Drosophila melanogaster: one gene and its partner. Changing the gene in region 1 together with any one later gene gives a genetic interaction. Each region holds a gene or a part of one and is shown in the gene's direction. Other genes may lie near its edges.

The links.
Region 2: of Rpp30 (region 1) and Claspin, changing one suppresses a phenotype caused by changing the other (phenotypic suppression), as found in Drosophila melanogaster (one study listed by BioGRID).

What each region holds. Positions count from the first base shown.
Region 1 is NT_033779.5:249,403-255,341, reverse strand, and holds Rpp30 (RNaseP protein p30), read left to right. Parts: upstream 1-2,968; 5' UTR 2,969-3,024; coding exon 3,025-3,115; intron 3,116-3,175; coding exon 3,176-3,363; intron 3,364-3,417; coding exon 3,418-3,486; intron 3,487-3,540; coding exon 3,541-3,815; intron 3,816-3,877; coding exon 3,878-4,148; 3' UTR 4,149-4,303; downstream 4,304-5,939. Other genes in the region: Dus1 (dihydrouridine synthase 1), read left to right, coding at 963-1,386, 1,452-1,896, 1,957-2,122, 2,197-2,679.
Region 2 is NT_037436.4:4,310,717-4,320,044, forward strand, and holds Claspin (claspin), read left to right. Parts: upstream 1-2,766; 5' UTR 2,767-2,918; coding exon 2,919-4,394; intron 4,395-4,456; coding exon 4,457-4,704; intron 4,705-4,755; coding exon 4,756-5,418; intron 5,419-5,476; coding exon 5,477-6,778; intron 6,779-6,835; coding exon 6,836-7,088; intron 7,089-7,145; coding exon 7,146-7,481; intron 7,482-7,543; coding exon 7,544-7,663; 3' UTR 7,664-7,892; downstream 7,893-9,328. Other genes in the region: PMP34 (peroxisomal membrane protein 34), read left to right, coding at 8,335-8,406, 8,483-8,543. UniProt on the Drosophila melanogaster protein: Required for checkpoint signaling in response to DNA replication stress; either resulting from normal embryogenesis or induced by the DNA synthesis inhibitor hydroxyurea (HU).

The sequences.
Region 1 (5,939 bases):
TGTTGTATTTTAACTTAATGGGAATTCATAGCCTTTCGACCTCATGCTTTCAATTAAACCATTTTAAACTTACGTGTGTCCCCTTATGCAGTGCAACGCAGTCCGATAATTTCGATAAACCGGTGGAAAGAAGGGTTTGAACTTTTCAGTTTTGAGTTGCATGCACAACTTGAATAACTCAATTAGTGTGCGCATTGTTGTATGTTGTGGCAGTAGTTGGTGTTCGGCTTTTCTCGTAATTGTTGCTTTTGTTGATGTGCATTGACTTAGAGCGCAATTTTCACGCTTCTATGCCTGGGCCAAGCCCCAAAAACGAAAGCGAAACGAGAAGGTATTAAAGAAAACCCGGTGTAGTCGTTGAAGAAATTTAATTGGAGCAAACTCGAGCAAGCACTAGACATTAGACGTTGCAATTGCAGTTGCAGATGCAACAAAAGTGAAATTACAAAATTAATGCAAAAAACGAGTCTTCAAGAGTAATCGGGACGAAATCAGATGGTTCGAGCAAAAGGCATGCATTAATCCTATTCTATCAAGATCTAAAAAATGACATTCTATCCTAATTATACAAAATATAGAGTAGGCTTTCAGCGACCCTTAGCTCCGCGTTTCTGTTTTCATCCTGTGTGAGCTCAATGCAAATTTGTTTGGCTTTGCCCAACTGTGCGTGGCTTTTCCCAGTCGCTCGCTCGGCCGCTCCCTTTCGCCGCTAATGTGGCGCTAATTAGCTAGTTGTGAAAATGCGTAGGTGCCTTGGGAAATCCAGCCCTCTGCTGTCCGGTAAAGAATGAGCCACAATATTAGACTGCATTGCGGGTATTTGTCAACCCGTTAGCGGGATGACTAATGTCATTTGGGCTTGGGGAAAGGTGCCGATAATCACTGTCGCATGGAATATTTTCAACTTTTGCCAATAGGCGTATCAATCCAATCTTTTTTTTTAGATTTCATTTGAATTTGCCATGGTGAACGATGAAGACGCCGCGCACCAAAGACCTAGCAAGCCCACCGGATACAACTTCTACCGCTCCTCCTTGGGATCCCCGCGTTATGTAGTGGCTCCCATGGTGGATCAAAGCGAGCTGGCCTGGCGAATGCTGTGCCGACGCTATGGCGCCGAACTCTGCTACTCGCCAATGTACCATGCGAACCTCTTCGCCACAGACCCCAAGTATCGCAAGGATGCCTTGCAGACGTGTCCCGAGGACAGGCCATTGATCATCCAGTTCTGTGGCAACGATGCTCAACAAATCCTGGATGCAGCACTCCTGGCGCAGGACCACTGCGACGCGGTGGACATAAATTTGGGTTGTCCCCAGGCCATTGCCAAGAGAGGTCACTACGGATCCTTCCTGCAGGATGAGTGGGAGCTGCTGACAGAGATTGGTGAGTAGCACAGGCTACTTTGATTGTTTATGGAACTAGTGATTGCAACTGCTATATTATCCTAGTGAGCACACTGCACGCAAAACTAGCCGTTCCTGTAACTTGCAAGATTCGCATCTTCGAGGACCTTGAGAAGACCATTAGGTATGCCAAGATGCTGGAGGCGGCCGGCTGCCAGCTTCTGACTGTCCACGGTAGGACCAGAGAGCAGAAGGGTCCGCTGACCGGGGTGGCTAATTGGAACTACATTAAGAATGTGCGCCAGCACATCAAGATTCCAATGCTTGCCAACGGAAACATCCTGGCCCTGGACGACGTTCATCGTTGTCTGACTGAAACAGGAGTCGATGGTGTAATGAGCGCCGAGGGTAATCTGCACAATCCGGCCATCTTTAAAGGAGTCTCACCGCCCGTCTGGCAAATGGCCCATGAGTACTTGGAGCTCGTTCAGCTCCATCCGTGCCCGAGTTCCTTTATACGAGGACATCTCTTCAAGCTCTTCCATCACATGTAAGTCTCTACACTACCGAACCTAAACCGATTTTTCAAAATCAATTCTCTATTTCGTAGCATGAATATCCGGCAGAACTCTGAGTTACGGCAATACCTAGCCACTGCAAATCAGCTCGTGCAATTCCAAGCCGTCGTGCAACAAGTACGGGCAAAATACGAGCCGTTCCACAAGGGCGAGGTGCCATACGAGCCCGAACAAATGGCTGCTGGATCAGAGGAAGATGTAAGTTGCTCGAACGGATCTTTGTAATAGAGTGGATCTGAAATAACACGAATATTTTATATTCCCCAATAAAGCTGCCACTTTCTCCCTGGCTGTGTCAACCATATATACGCGCCTCACCCGAATCCCATCGCCAGAAGATTGCCGAAAAGGTGCGCGAGGCTGAGGATCCCAACCGAACCAAGCGGCAGTACTTCGACAAGGACGGCAAGGAGATCTCCCGCAAACGGATGAAGAAACTTCGAAGACGCCAGCGAAGACCCAACAAAACGGAGGCCCAGATCCAGCATCGGCACGAGAGGCGCCTGGAATACTGCTCGGAATGCGCCAATCCCCAGGGATCCAAGTGCGAGTTCCAGCTGTGCCGCGTGTGCTGCAAGGACAGGTGCTACAACAACGATCGCGATTGTCCTGGTCACGGGATCTTCATCAAATCCCGCCGAGCCAGGGCCAAGCTTTTTGAGGAGCACATCGCCCCGCAGGACCACCAGAAGGTGACGAGAACTTCAGACGATGACCTGACGATAGCCCCAACGGATGCGCAGGAGCCGCTTTGACCTTAAACCTGTACTTTAGGAAACACCCTTCTTGTTTTTGTTTCTATGACTGCGAATAAAAAAAAGCTTGTTTTAAAAACCGCATTGATTGTTTTCATTCAAACTTTTGATTCCATGGCGGGTTTCTTTCATAAGCAAACCCCAAACCGGTTGAATTGGCCAATTTATGCGAACCCATTCTATTTGTGCATTTATACTTTTAAAGTTTCCTATGTAAAAAAAAAAAACTGTTAGTGTGACCGTGTTATTTGTGCCCTAAAATGTGTTTCAATTATCTGGCGAAAGCTGGCCACTCTAAACACCGGTTGCACGCTGTGGGCAACGAAAATCAAAACAAAGCCTAAAATGGAGCAAACAAGGCCATTTTACGATTTCAGCATACCATACAACAAGGACGACTCCGTGTTGCGGGCCCTGCTTAACGAGCTGGTGGAAAGTGAGTGAGAACAAATGACCATACAGAAGATTCCCACGACATCCGACATACTCGTTGCAGCGGGCTACAAAACAGTGGCCATCGACCAGAGTTTCGACCACAGCAAAAAGGATCCGGGCAAACGTGGGTCCGAGATGTTTCCCGAGCCTCATAAGATCGAGCATCTGCGCAAGGAGTTCCAGGACAAGCTGAGAATCCTGCAGAGAATCACCATTCTCTACGTAGACGTCAATGTGGCCCACGCGATGGTAGGAACACTTGATGATGGATAATAGCAAGTTAATTTGTATTTGTTGCTGTAGAGTGTCTCCCATAATCTGCGGAAGTTCAATCTCATCGCTGGCCAACCGAAAACAGATGCCGCCCTGACGGTAAGTCACTATAAGTACCACCTTCAAATCATCATTTAACACGGACCATCTAAGCACTGCTGCACTGCCTTCAATGGGGACTTGATAACTTTTGATCCTGTGGCTGGGTCCCGACTCTTGGTAAACCGAAAAGCATACCAGGTGGCAGTCCGTCGGGGCATGTTCTTCGAAATTAAATACGCTCCATCTATCTGCGATTCGAATAACAGGAAGGACATGATAAAGATCGCCCAGAACTATTGCACCAAAGGGAAGTCCAAGAACGTTATCTTCAGCAGTGGTGCGGCGCACGAATTCCAGCTGAGAGGACCTTACGACGTTGCTAATTTGTAAGATATAGCTAACTAGATTACCTTTAAGATGAAGTCTAATTGGTACTAACATTTTAAAGGGCCTTTATCTTCGGCCTATCAGAGGACCAAGGGAAAAATGCTGTGGACGGGCACTGCCGGGAACTTTTCCTGAAGGCTGAGGCGCGTCGTCTGGGAAAAACCATCATGTTTCTCAAAGGAAACGGTCCCATAATATACTCGGATAGCTCTGAGGACGAGAAAAGCACCGAAGACGAAATGAAGGGTCTAAAACCGCAAATTGGAAAAGCGGATGCATTTGAAGTCAAAGACGGAACTGAGCACGCTATTAAACGACTTAAAGTGGCGTAGCCTTTAACTAAAATACATCAGCTTTTTTAATAAGTTGGCTAGTTTTGATTTTACGACGAAAGCCGGCTAACGTAACGTAATGGTTTTGGGTCTAGGCTGCACGTGGTTTGGGTCCAGGAAAAGGTCGACAGTTTTACTTCAGCAGCTACATGTCTAACTATACCCGATTGACTATGCTAATTATCGTTAAATTTTAAGTTGTTTGTTAAATAATATTTCCGTTTGTTGTCATTTGTACATTAGTGATGTCAGTAGCGATATTTAAAATAATATATCGATGGCATAAAAAGAAGAACCATCGATTGGCGGGTATCCGGGACTTCTGGCAACATTGATTTTCGTCCCAGCTCTAGCGTACAACAACAAAACAAAATGGAGGTCTTTGATGTGTGTGTCGCGTTGTCTTGAAATTTGCTGCTAGAATTTTGCGTTAAACGGTAATTTAAAGTGCAAAGTAATTAAGAAAAATTGCTTTAAAACGCTTGCCAGGGTGCCGGCATCTGGAAAAGCACCAAATCTGATCGGAGTTGAGCGTATTTTAAGCAAAATTAGCATTTGAAAAGTGGTCGAAACCGAGTCACTTGAAAAGAAAAAATGTGCAAAGAGGAGAGTGGAGAGTAAGACAGAGAAAGCAAAAAGAGCAAGAAGACAAGCGACGAGACGAAAAGAAAAACGGCAAAGCAAAAGAAATATATTTCGCGAGACTACGAAGAAAAGCTGAAAAGTAGCAGCCGTCGAATTTCAATTGTTTTTTCCCCCGCAGTTCCAAGTGCATTTCTCTATGCGCCTGTGTTCGTGTATGTGTGTGTGCGAATAATTAATGGCAAAATTGCCGAAGAACATCGAAAATCAAATCCGAAAATGTGAGCGGCGACCGTCTAATACAATTAAAAATGGTCATCATCGGGAAGTTTGTGTATGTGTGCGATGCTCGCTTGCGTTTTCGTCTTCATCATGTTTGAGTGTAATTATCACGTTGATTATTGCCTGCTCATTTGATTTCTTTCTCCAACTTCTATTCGCCATATTCTTTACTCCCGCTTTTTACTCAAAAAAAATTAAAACTGTTGGTGGTTATAGCTAGGACTTTTTTTCTCGTAACGCTTGTAGCATACATTTTGTGTATGTATTTGTGCCCCGTTTCGCTGCAGTGTTGCCAACATTATTCGGGTGATGCAGCGCCGCACATTTTGCACCTGTGCAGGAGACAATCTCTCCCCACCCTCACTCACGCCCCGTGGCGCATTTATCCATCTACCATAATGGCCATTGCTACAGTTGCTCTGCCAACGTCGCAGTCGACGTTCTCGTTGCTCTTTTCACAGTTTGTTATTATTGCGATGGGACAAACCGAAGTGCAAATCATATTCCCAAATTAATTGTCTTATTTTTCGATTAGGTTTATTTCAATGGCTCGATTTTAATTTAAGAAATAAACAGGAAAACTACTCGAAAATCTAGCAAAACATCCGCAGGTTTGAGAAGACGATTCTGTTGCAGATAAAATTTCTCCTCGTTTTTTCTACAAATTTAATCTGTGCTGCAAAACAACCAACAACTCGAGTGCAATCTTTTTCTTTTTATAACAAATTTGGTGTTCTTGGTCCAAGCTGCACTGTAGCTGTCATCAATATTTCTATATTGATAGTCTAAAGTAGCACTCACATAGATACAGTGCACATATGCAACGGTATCCCCATTTGCGGCTCTTCCTCTTTGATTGGTTTTTGCTCTGCTTCGGTCGCTGTGTCAACTCATCTGTCTGCCTCCATCTTCCTCGCTCCACTCGCT
Region 2 (9,328 bases), on another chromosome or scaffold:
TACTATACCTCAAAGTGCTCGTAATGAACTACCCAATCAATTGGCATTCAAAACTGGAAACTTTAAAATTTTTAGATTTTTCGGAAAAAAGGTGATGGGTGGTACATCCAAAAATGCAAAAATAAGAAAAAAAAATTTTTTTTTATGAGCTCATATTTTTTTCAGTGTGCGCAAAACGTCAATTGATTTTAAGTTTGGTTTCGGTCCACGCTCGATGGCTGCTGCGCCCTTTTTGGCCATTTCTTCGACTTGGGCCGCATAAATGGCGCTTAATTATTATTTTATGCATATGACTTGAGGCCGGGATGGGGTCGGCTGGATGTCGGATGGAGTCGAGCATGGACGGAGCCTGAGTCATGCGCCATATATCACTTTCACTCGCAAAAAAAAAAAGACATGGCATAGCAAAACGGCAAGAAATCTCAATCGGGCAACGAAAAGCCAGACGCAGACAGCCAAAGGCGTGTCTGGGTCCCAGGAACAACAGCTAAAAGATATATACGCAAACATGTGGCATTTACAAGCCGATCAGCCCCGATTTTTTATGCGATCCTCCGTGGACGATTTGCTTTTAATTGCGAACGACAGAGTGGCTGCATAAGCCCCATAAACTCAACTTAAATCTGCAGTTGAAGGCTCTGAAAGGTCTTAAGACCGCGCGATTGCATAAGCCACTTAGTCTTGCCAAAAAGAAAATATGGGCTAAAAGTAGTTTTCTAAAGAAATGGGGTATTCATTGGCTGTTTGTTTGCTTCGATCGAAATCCCATTTCGAATTCCATGAGATTGTGAGGCGAAGATCAATATTGATTGTAGACAGTTGGAAATTATGTGTATCTTTCGATTAGACTCTGCATTTAGCACACACTCGAGTGTTTTCACTTTCATCTTATGGGCCCAAGTTGTGATTTTTCGGTTTTCGGTGGTATCTGTGAACTGTGCGTATGCAAATTAGGTAGCGACAACAAGGCGCAGAAATACCGTAAGTGGCCAAAAGCAAAATCTCTGCTACAGATATGAAAAAAGATGTCTGAAAGATACATACAGTTAACCGTTTTTAGTTTTTTTTTGGTTTTTGCCAAATGAAAGAGAAATTGTGTGCGACGGCACCAAGATTCGTTTTTTTTAAATATACGTATATAGTATGCTAATTGGTGCGCTAGCTGAAGCTTAAAATTATAAATGCCTAGCTCAAAAGTCGTAAGCAAGAGCATTATGATTTAATCAGGCTGCTGGATAAGGGGCAAAAATTACCTAAGGTTTTTATGACTGTAAAAGACGACTTAATGGTGATAAATACTTGTATCTGGGGATTAAAGCTTGTAGTTCTGTTGGTAAGATGATAAGATCAATTTTTTTTAGAAAATATCAAATTAGAACAAATATCTATGTAATATCATGGTTTTCATGCGATTCTCTAAGCTTATTGAAATACTATCGATATGTTTGATAAATATGAAAATTTGAGAGAAATCTCTTCCAAAAGAGTATCCAAATATTTACCAAGCCATGCTAATTTAACGACTGATTAAGCCCAAGCTGTGATTCCACATGCGAATATATTATGAATTTGGCAAAGCGGAAAGCATAGGATTCGTGAAATATGGCTGCTTTCTTTCGATCTTTCTAAGGTTGAATAACATATGGCTTTGTTGTGTGGGATTTTCAAACGTTGCGCAATTCGGCAAGGTGAAACATTTGTCCCTCTTAAATATCAAAGACATTTGTAAAATGCATTAATCATTTATGTTTTGACCGAGAGTGATCTCAGAATAGACCTATTAAGTGAAAAGCCGGGGGAATTTAACACCTATTAAAACGGTTTGGTTTCGCTTTTCGGGGGCCTTTTGCTTTTGCTTTCATTGAAAGCCAAGTTAATTGAATATTAGGCTCTGAACCGAGGTTAATGGTTGCGCATTGGATGCGTTTTTCAGCATTATTAATTGCATTTTAATGCTATTTATATCGGAGCAAGGGTATATCATTAGGCCACTCTCGTCGTCTTGGGGTTACTTAATGACCCTCGGTCGAAAGATCTTTTCAGCTTTTTGGCTTTTCAGCCACGAAACTGTGAAAGAGAAATGCCTCTGAGACAGAAAGAGATGCGGAGAAAGCATGGCAGCAAGTAGCAACATCGACATCGTACCAAAATCAAACCAACTGCAACAATTCGCCAACATACAAGAGCAACAACAACCACGGGAACAGGTGAACCTACTCGCATACCCACCTGGATATTTTCCATTTGTCTGCTTTTTTCATCTGAGTGTATGCAAATCCGCTGGGTGATTACTTTCGATTGCTGTACTGCTGAAAGGTTGCAGCCTGCTGATTAAGTTGCTGTCCGAGATTTGTTCACGCTGCTTGATTTGCGTTTGAATAATCATGTACATTTTATAGGTTTCAGCTCGTCGAGATATTGAGTTCATTTATGGCTATTTAAGAGTTTTCACTATTTAAACTGATGTGGCCATAAACTTTGAGTATGTATTCTCCTCTAATACAAAATAAAATTTGAAATATTTTAAGAAAATTTATATTCTAATTTCAATATATTTTGTTTATTTAATTAATATTTAGAAAATAATAAAATAAAGGAGCAACATTAATTTTGTTTTATTTTTATTATTATTATTTTTATACCTTATGAAATTGAGTAAAATTTTGTTTTTAATATTCCTGTAAGTAACGGTCTATTATACATTAATTTGACTCATTTCTTCTACATCATTTTACACAAATGTGGCCAGGCCTGTTTATTAAGTATGCCTTACAACACTGCCTGCATCAGCTGATTGATCCCGCACTTTCAACACTCTTTGCGCCAAAAATCGAACTGCGTGTAATTGTGTGCGTTTGCGACTTCGAATGTTTTTGGTTTCTTATTATTATTAACAAAAAAACAAGTGACCCAGAAATATGAGTGAATCGCTTGCAGAAACTGCAGCTGCAGCGGAAAATGAAGAGCAGGCCGACGACTCGATGGAAAAGCTGGTCTTCGACGAGGAAGACGAGCAGATGGTCTCCGGCGAAGATTTACTGGGTGGCAAGAGTTTGATAATGTCGGATGACAGCGAAGCGGAAGATGGCTCCCAGGAAAAGCCCCTATCACCCAAGGACAGGCGCCGAAGGATGATGGACAGTGACCAGGAGGAAGATGCAATGGATCAGGGAAACGGTGATTCCATAAAAAACAGCGAGGATGTGGAGGAGGAGATGGTTTCCAGGCCGAAAAAGAAGGTATCCGCCATCATAGATTCGGATAATGATGATGAGCAGCAGGCGGAAAAAAAGACGCAGAAGGAGGAGGGGAAGCAACCCGTCAAAAGCAAGAAGAAGAGATCCCAGGTCAACCAGGAGGATCAGGAGAAACCTGTCAAATCTAATAAGACAAAGAAGGCGGTAAAGAATAAGACCCAAGCAAACAAGGCGGAGGACGACCAGGATAACCCTTCCAAGGAGGATAAACCAAAAAAAGTGGTCAAAAATAAGAAACAAACGAATAAAGATGGTAAACCCCAAACAAACGAAGAGTACGACCACCACCAACAGCATGAGAAACCTGCAAAGACACAAAAGTCAAAAAAGTTGGCCAAGAAGCAGAAGCAACAAGAGGATGATAAGGAGGACAATGGCACTGAACAGGAGAAGAAGAAACCTTCACCAAAATCAAAGGCAAAGAAGTCCGACAAATCTAAAATAGATTCCCTAATGGACAACGAAGAGGACGCGGGTGAAGACCTTAAAATGTATCAAGAAGATCAGGAGCCTCAAAAGCAGAAGACAAAAAAATCAGCCAAGAAAACTAATAAGGACAGTAAGGAAGAGTCAGGTGAAGACCAGGAACACCAAGAGCAAAAGAAGCCACTCAAGAAAATAAAGTTGGACAATATTGACACCAAGGAGGATAAGGAACAGATAGTGAAGCCGAAAAAGATGGCCAAGAAAAACAAACAGAAAGTACTGAGCGATGACGAGTCAGAGGAAAATCAGAATGAAAAGGTGGATCAAGATCATGATCTTAAGAAAATGAGCAGTGAAAATGAGCTGGAAATGGGCAGCGATAAGGAAGACCAGGAAATGCAGGAACCTCCCAAAAAGGCAAAGAAAAATAAACAACGAATGGACAGTGAAAGCGAAGATGAAATCCCGAAAACCGAAAGCGAGAAAATAACCAGTTCACCCAAAAACAAACTGAAAGGATTGGTGGACTCCGAATCTGAACCGGAAGAAACTGCTGAGGAAGTTAGTCCCGTCAAGAACAAACTTAAAGGATTGGTGGACTCGGAATCGGAACCAGAGCTAGACAATCCCGAGGAATCTGCAGGAGAACAGGAAGCCCCAATGGAAAGCGCTCTCTCCAGAGAGAAACCTAAGAAGGCCAAAGTTGTTCGCGTGAGTTTTTTAATTAATAGGATGGCTATAATATATTTTAATACATACTTTCATATAATTAGGAATCAGCTAAGAAAGCACTGGAGGGGATGCAGGCCATCCAAAGTGAACAGCAGCGTTTGCACCGCGAGGCACACATCAACGTGCCGTATCATCAGCCGAAACCAAGGACACTGAAGGAGTTTCTTAGCCGACGAACCATCAACGCTCCACTGGCCACGGCTCTGGCTGGAGGAAGTCCAATGCCCAGCAGGCAGCCAAGGAAGTCGGTGGGACTGCGGATGACCAGGGAGGAATTGGAGGCTTATGCGTAAGTTACATGAGGCTTTAAAAGATAATTTAAACCTAATCTATTGTTTAGAAAACTTATGGAGGATCGTGCCAAAGAAGCTACCGAGTTCTTTAAGTCTGAGTCTGAGTCAGATGAGGAGGATGATTCGGAGAACGAAGAACCTATGGAATTAAAAGACAATCCAGGTGTTATGGATGAGATGCTGGATAATCCAAAAACTCCAGAACAGCCCAAGAACGACACAGAGGACATGACCAGCCAAGCAGTTATTGAGGTACCTGTCCTGGGTGAAGACAAAACAGATGATACCGTCGGTGATGAAGCAATGGTTGCAGATTCTATTACTGAAGAAGAACCCATTGCCTCCACCTCTACTGCAGCTGCCCTGAAATTAGCAGATAATTTTGAAATTCAGCAAGAGACTAATGCGAAATCCCCCAGCAAAGTCTGTCTGGTTACAGAAGTAGTGGAATTGCCCAAGCTGGACTTGAGCACCATCAACATAACACCGTCCTCTAAGCCAGCAACTCCTAAGATTAGCGAAGTTATTCGCCAGCTGAAGATTGAGAAGAGCTTAGATGAGAGCCCTTCGCTGAAAGGCGATCCCAACATGGTTATTGATCTGGAAACGGGTGATATGTTCGCCAAAAAACCAACAGGTGTGGATGACCTGCTAAACCGTCTGATGAAAACGCGGGAAGCTAAAAAGCACAAGACCACAGAGACTGTCAAGTATGTAGCCCACTTTACCATCTTTTTCAGCCCTAAAACTTGGGTACATTTTTTTTAGCATCCTAACCACTGAACATGGCAAGCTGGAGATGTCCAAGGTGAGCATACACCTGCACGAAGAGGAAATCGCAAAAGAACCAAAACCAGGAGCGGGTTACATGAAAATGCAGGAGCATCTCAAAACCCTGATTACTAAAAAACGCATGGAGGACCTACGCAAAAAGCAGGCTGAAGAACAGGAGAAAATGGCAGAAGATGAGGAGGAAGGCATGGATGTGGATGAGGAGTACGAACCGGAAGATAAACCTGGCTATGCAGAAGTAACTATAAATGAAGATGAGGAAATCATAGATAAAGTTGATAGCACTGCTGAGGATGATGGCGATGCTGAAGAAAACAAAAACGATGCAGACGAAGATCCCGAAGACAATCCAGTTGAAGACAGTGAGGATGAGAAAAATGACAGTGAAAGTGAGCAGGAATGTGAAGCGAACCCAGAGCCAGAAACGCAAACCAGAAAGAAGAACCGCATCATTAAAGCATTCGAGGACGACAACTCCGATGAAGATGATCTCGACCTGCTGCAAACTCCGAAGCCAAGCAATGTTGCTCCCATAACCGCTACCCAGTTGCAATTATCCGCCCACAAGCTTTTCGATGTGGAGACCCGACGCACGGCCAGCGACGAGGAGAATGAACTCCTGGATCTGTGTTCTGGCCAGTTTCCGCAGACCCAGATGCTTTCCTCCGACGCCCCTTCGGTGGATACAGCTGTGATCAGTCAGATTCCCATGACACAGTTTGGCGGCAGCAGCCAGGCAGCAGATGAACTGGAGGGTCTGTGTTCTGGTACCTTCGCCACCCAGTTGCCATCGCAAGCACCCACTCAACAGCCGGAACAGCAGGAAGAATCCGAAGTACCGGCAGCAGTAGCGAACAGAATAGTATCCAGCGATGAAGAAGCCCAGGAGGATGCCTTGGAAGTCGATAAGCCAAGAAACAAAAAACTAACCAAGAAAAGGCCAAAGAAAAAGGCCAAATTGGGCTTCTCGGATGATGAAGATAGCGATGATGAGGTTGAGGAATTCGACGAGGAAAGTGACGCAGAGCCAGTAGAGGAAATTCCGGAAACCTTTGTAGACTACGATTCCGAGGAAAATGAGATTGTTGTGGAGATGACCAAGAAGGATCGTAAAATACGAGCAGCCAACTTTGTGGACAAAGAAGCTGAGCTGTCTGAATCCGAATGGGGATCAGCCGACGAGGATGAGAAAAACATGGACGAGTACGACATTGAATTGGGCGACGAAGACCAGTTCGATCGTGATAAACTGCGGCATGAGCTTGGCCAGATACATGCGTAAGTAAATCAAAAATTCTACTTCTTTAAAATACTTTAACCATTTCTTTTTGACAGGCGTAAAATGATGGATCAGGATATTCGGGAAGTGCGCAAGATCAAGGAATTGCTCTTCGAAGAGGAGGAAGAGGGAGCGAATCGCCAGCGCCAATTCCGCTGGAAGAACGTGGAGGCCGGATTCAGTCTCGACGATAATCGAACCGACAATGGTGAAGGAAACGACGGCAGTGGCGATGAGGAAAACGAGCATCTGTGGCGAAAAATCCGCTACGAACGAGAGCAGCTTCTTTTAGAGAAGGGTTTAAAACCGGTGCGAAAACTCGTTTATTTTCTTAGTTCTATTCACTAAAACATTTTAATCTTTTAGGAGGTGGCCTCACCGCTTTCTACGTCCGTGATAAACACCAGTAACAATGGTAATTCGCCGGCCATTCGCCGACTGAACATAATTTCCTCTAAGAAGACAACTGTGGAGGTGAAGAAGAATTCTCCATTCCTGATCTCAAAGACAATAGCTGGCAAGCAGCAGAAGAGCGCTGTTCGTGGCTCCTTTCTGATTCGGGACCAGCAGACGCTTTCCAAACTGGCAGGACTCACAAAAGGAACCTCCGGCGATGTGGATGCCGCGGAGGGCACTATTTCTGTGAAGTCAGCGAAGGCGAAAAACTTCGTTTTCGCCACGCTAACGGAAGAGGAACATGAGGTGGGAACTAACTATGTTCTTTTGATTACGATTCCTTCTAAACCAAATTAATAACATTCCAGAATCGAAAGAGAAAAGCTGCCGATATACTGAACAGCAGCACTGAGACGGGGGTAAACTTCATAAAGAAACCAAAGTTGGAGCCTCGGAGAGACAAGTGCCTAATAGATCAGCTCCTTTGATCCGTTCTTCTTTTAAGCTAAGACTTAAATGTACATTTCAAAAGTTAGACTGCTAAGATAGTTTATAGGAGTGAATAAAAATAAGTTAAATTTTATATTTCTTTAGATAGGAACAGTATAAATTGGTTATACTGCCTTATAATTGGAATATTCCTTACATTTTATGTGCGATTGTTGTGAAATTTGGTATGTAGGAAGTTTATGATTAGGAATTTGTATGTATTTCAGTAAAATGAGGAATAATTAATAAAAAATTAAGAAAGATTTAAGATTTTACAAACCCAGTTAACGGTCTATTTTGTAAAATATATACATATGTGCGTATATATATTTTGGTATATTTCTCCAGCTACATGGTATATTTCGAACCCACAAACATTGGTCATACTGTGTGAATGAATGTGAATTCTATACAGAAATTATGAATATGTAAGTGAATCATTTACAAAGTCGCCGTGATCCAGGAGGCACAACAAAGCCACCGCCTCCTCCGCCGCCGATAAATTTAATCTAATCTACACATCGCGGCGAACAGCGCTGCCGCAGCTAAATTTTCAACAACCGGCGGATCGATCGGGTCGTCGTCAATCAGTAAACACTCGCCCGAAGACGCCGCCGGACGTTCCAGTCCCCAGTTTAGAGATCTCACAGTCCGACAAACAAACAGCAGAATGGTGGCCCCCTCGAAACTCAGCCAGGTGCTTAGCTACCAGAACTTTGTGCATGCCGTATCCGGAGCTGCGGTGAGTGGGCAAATATTTGCCGGCTAAAGGTCAAGATGGCATCGGTGCTAATTTGCATTTGGTCACCTATTCACAGGGCGGCTGCATCGCCATGAGCACTTTCTATCCACTGGATACAGTGCGTTCCCGCCTGCAACGTAAGTTTACCCAGGGATTCAACAATCGGACTGTAACTAATCATCACCCGATAAGCGGGCCACGCTTTGATAATTCATATAGGCGCACCTATTAATCTGTGCGCGAGTTCAAACTCCAGCGTTTGAAACTTTCTATTGACGATATGTTTGAGAGTCCATATCAGTCAATTGCCCGGGCTAATCCAATTTGAGGTCTGGTTATAGATGAAATTCGATAGCGTCTGGTTTCTGTGCCGCGAAAAAAATTGTGATAATTATTTTCTGTATAGTATGAGGAATAACTAAAGGTTTATTTTAAAAGATATACAAACACTATAGATGATATCATATGTGAACGTAGTTATAATATTACATTGTGTATATTTTGATACACAAAATTCGTTCAATATTAAGTGCCCATATGATACCTATGTGATATCGAGGGTTCACTTTACAAGGTGTGCGCTCTATTTCCCATTTTCCAAGTACACGAACAGCTTATATTATCTGAATGCATAAATTTTGCAATTTTATAGAGCCATTGGACTTTGACTCGTAAAATAAAACTTCTTACAATTATGATCAGTTAAGTTCACTAAAATTCGCGAAAACAAAAAGAAATACCTTTTAATACATTTTTTTAAAGGTGCAGCTTTATGACAATTTTAGCCCATACCATATTTACCCAACACGGTTGCATATTCGACTAAAGCGTTTTCAAATTTAATTCTAGAAATTGGATAATTAACATAATAGGGTTCAGGGTTGGCTTAATATCACTGACTCGTAGTATGCGTGACAAGTTC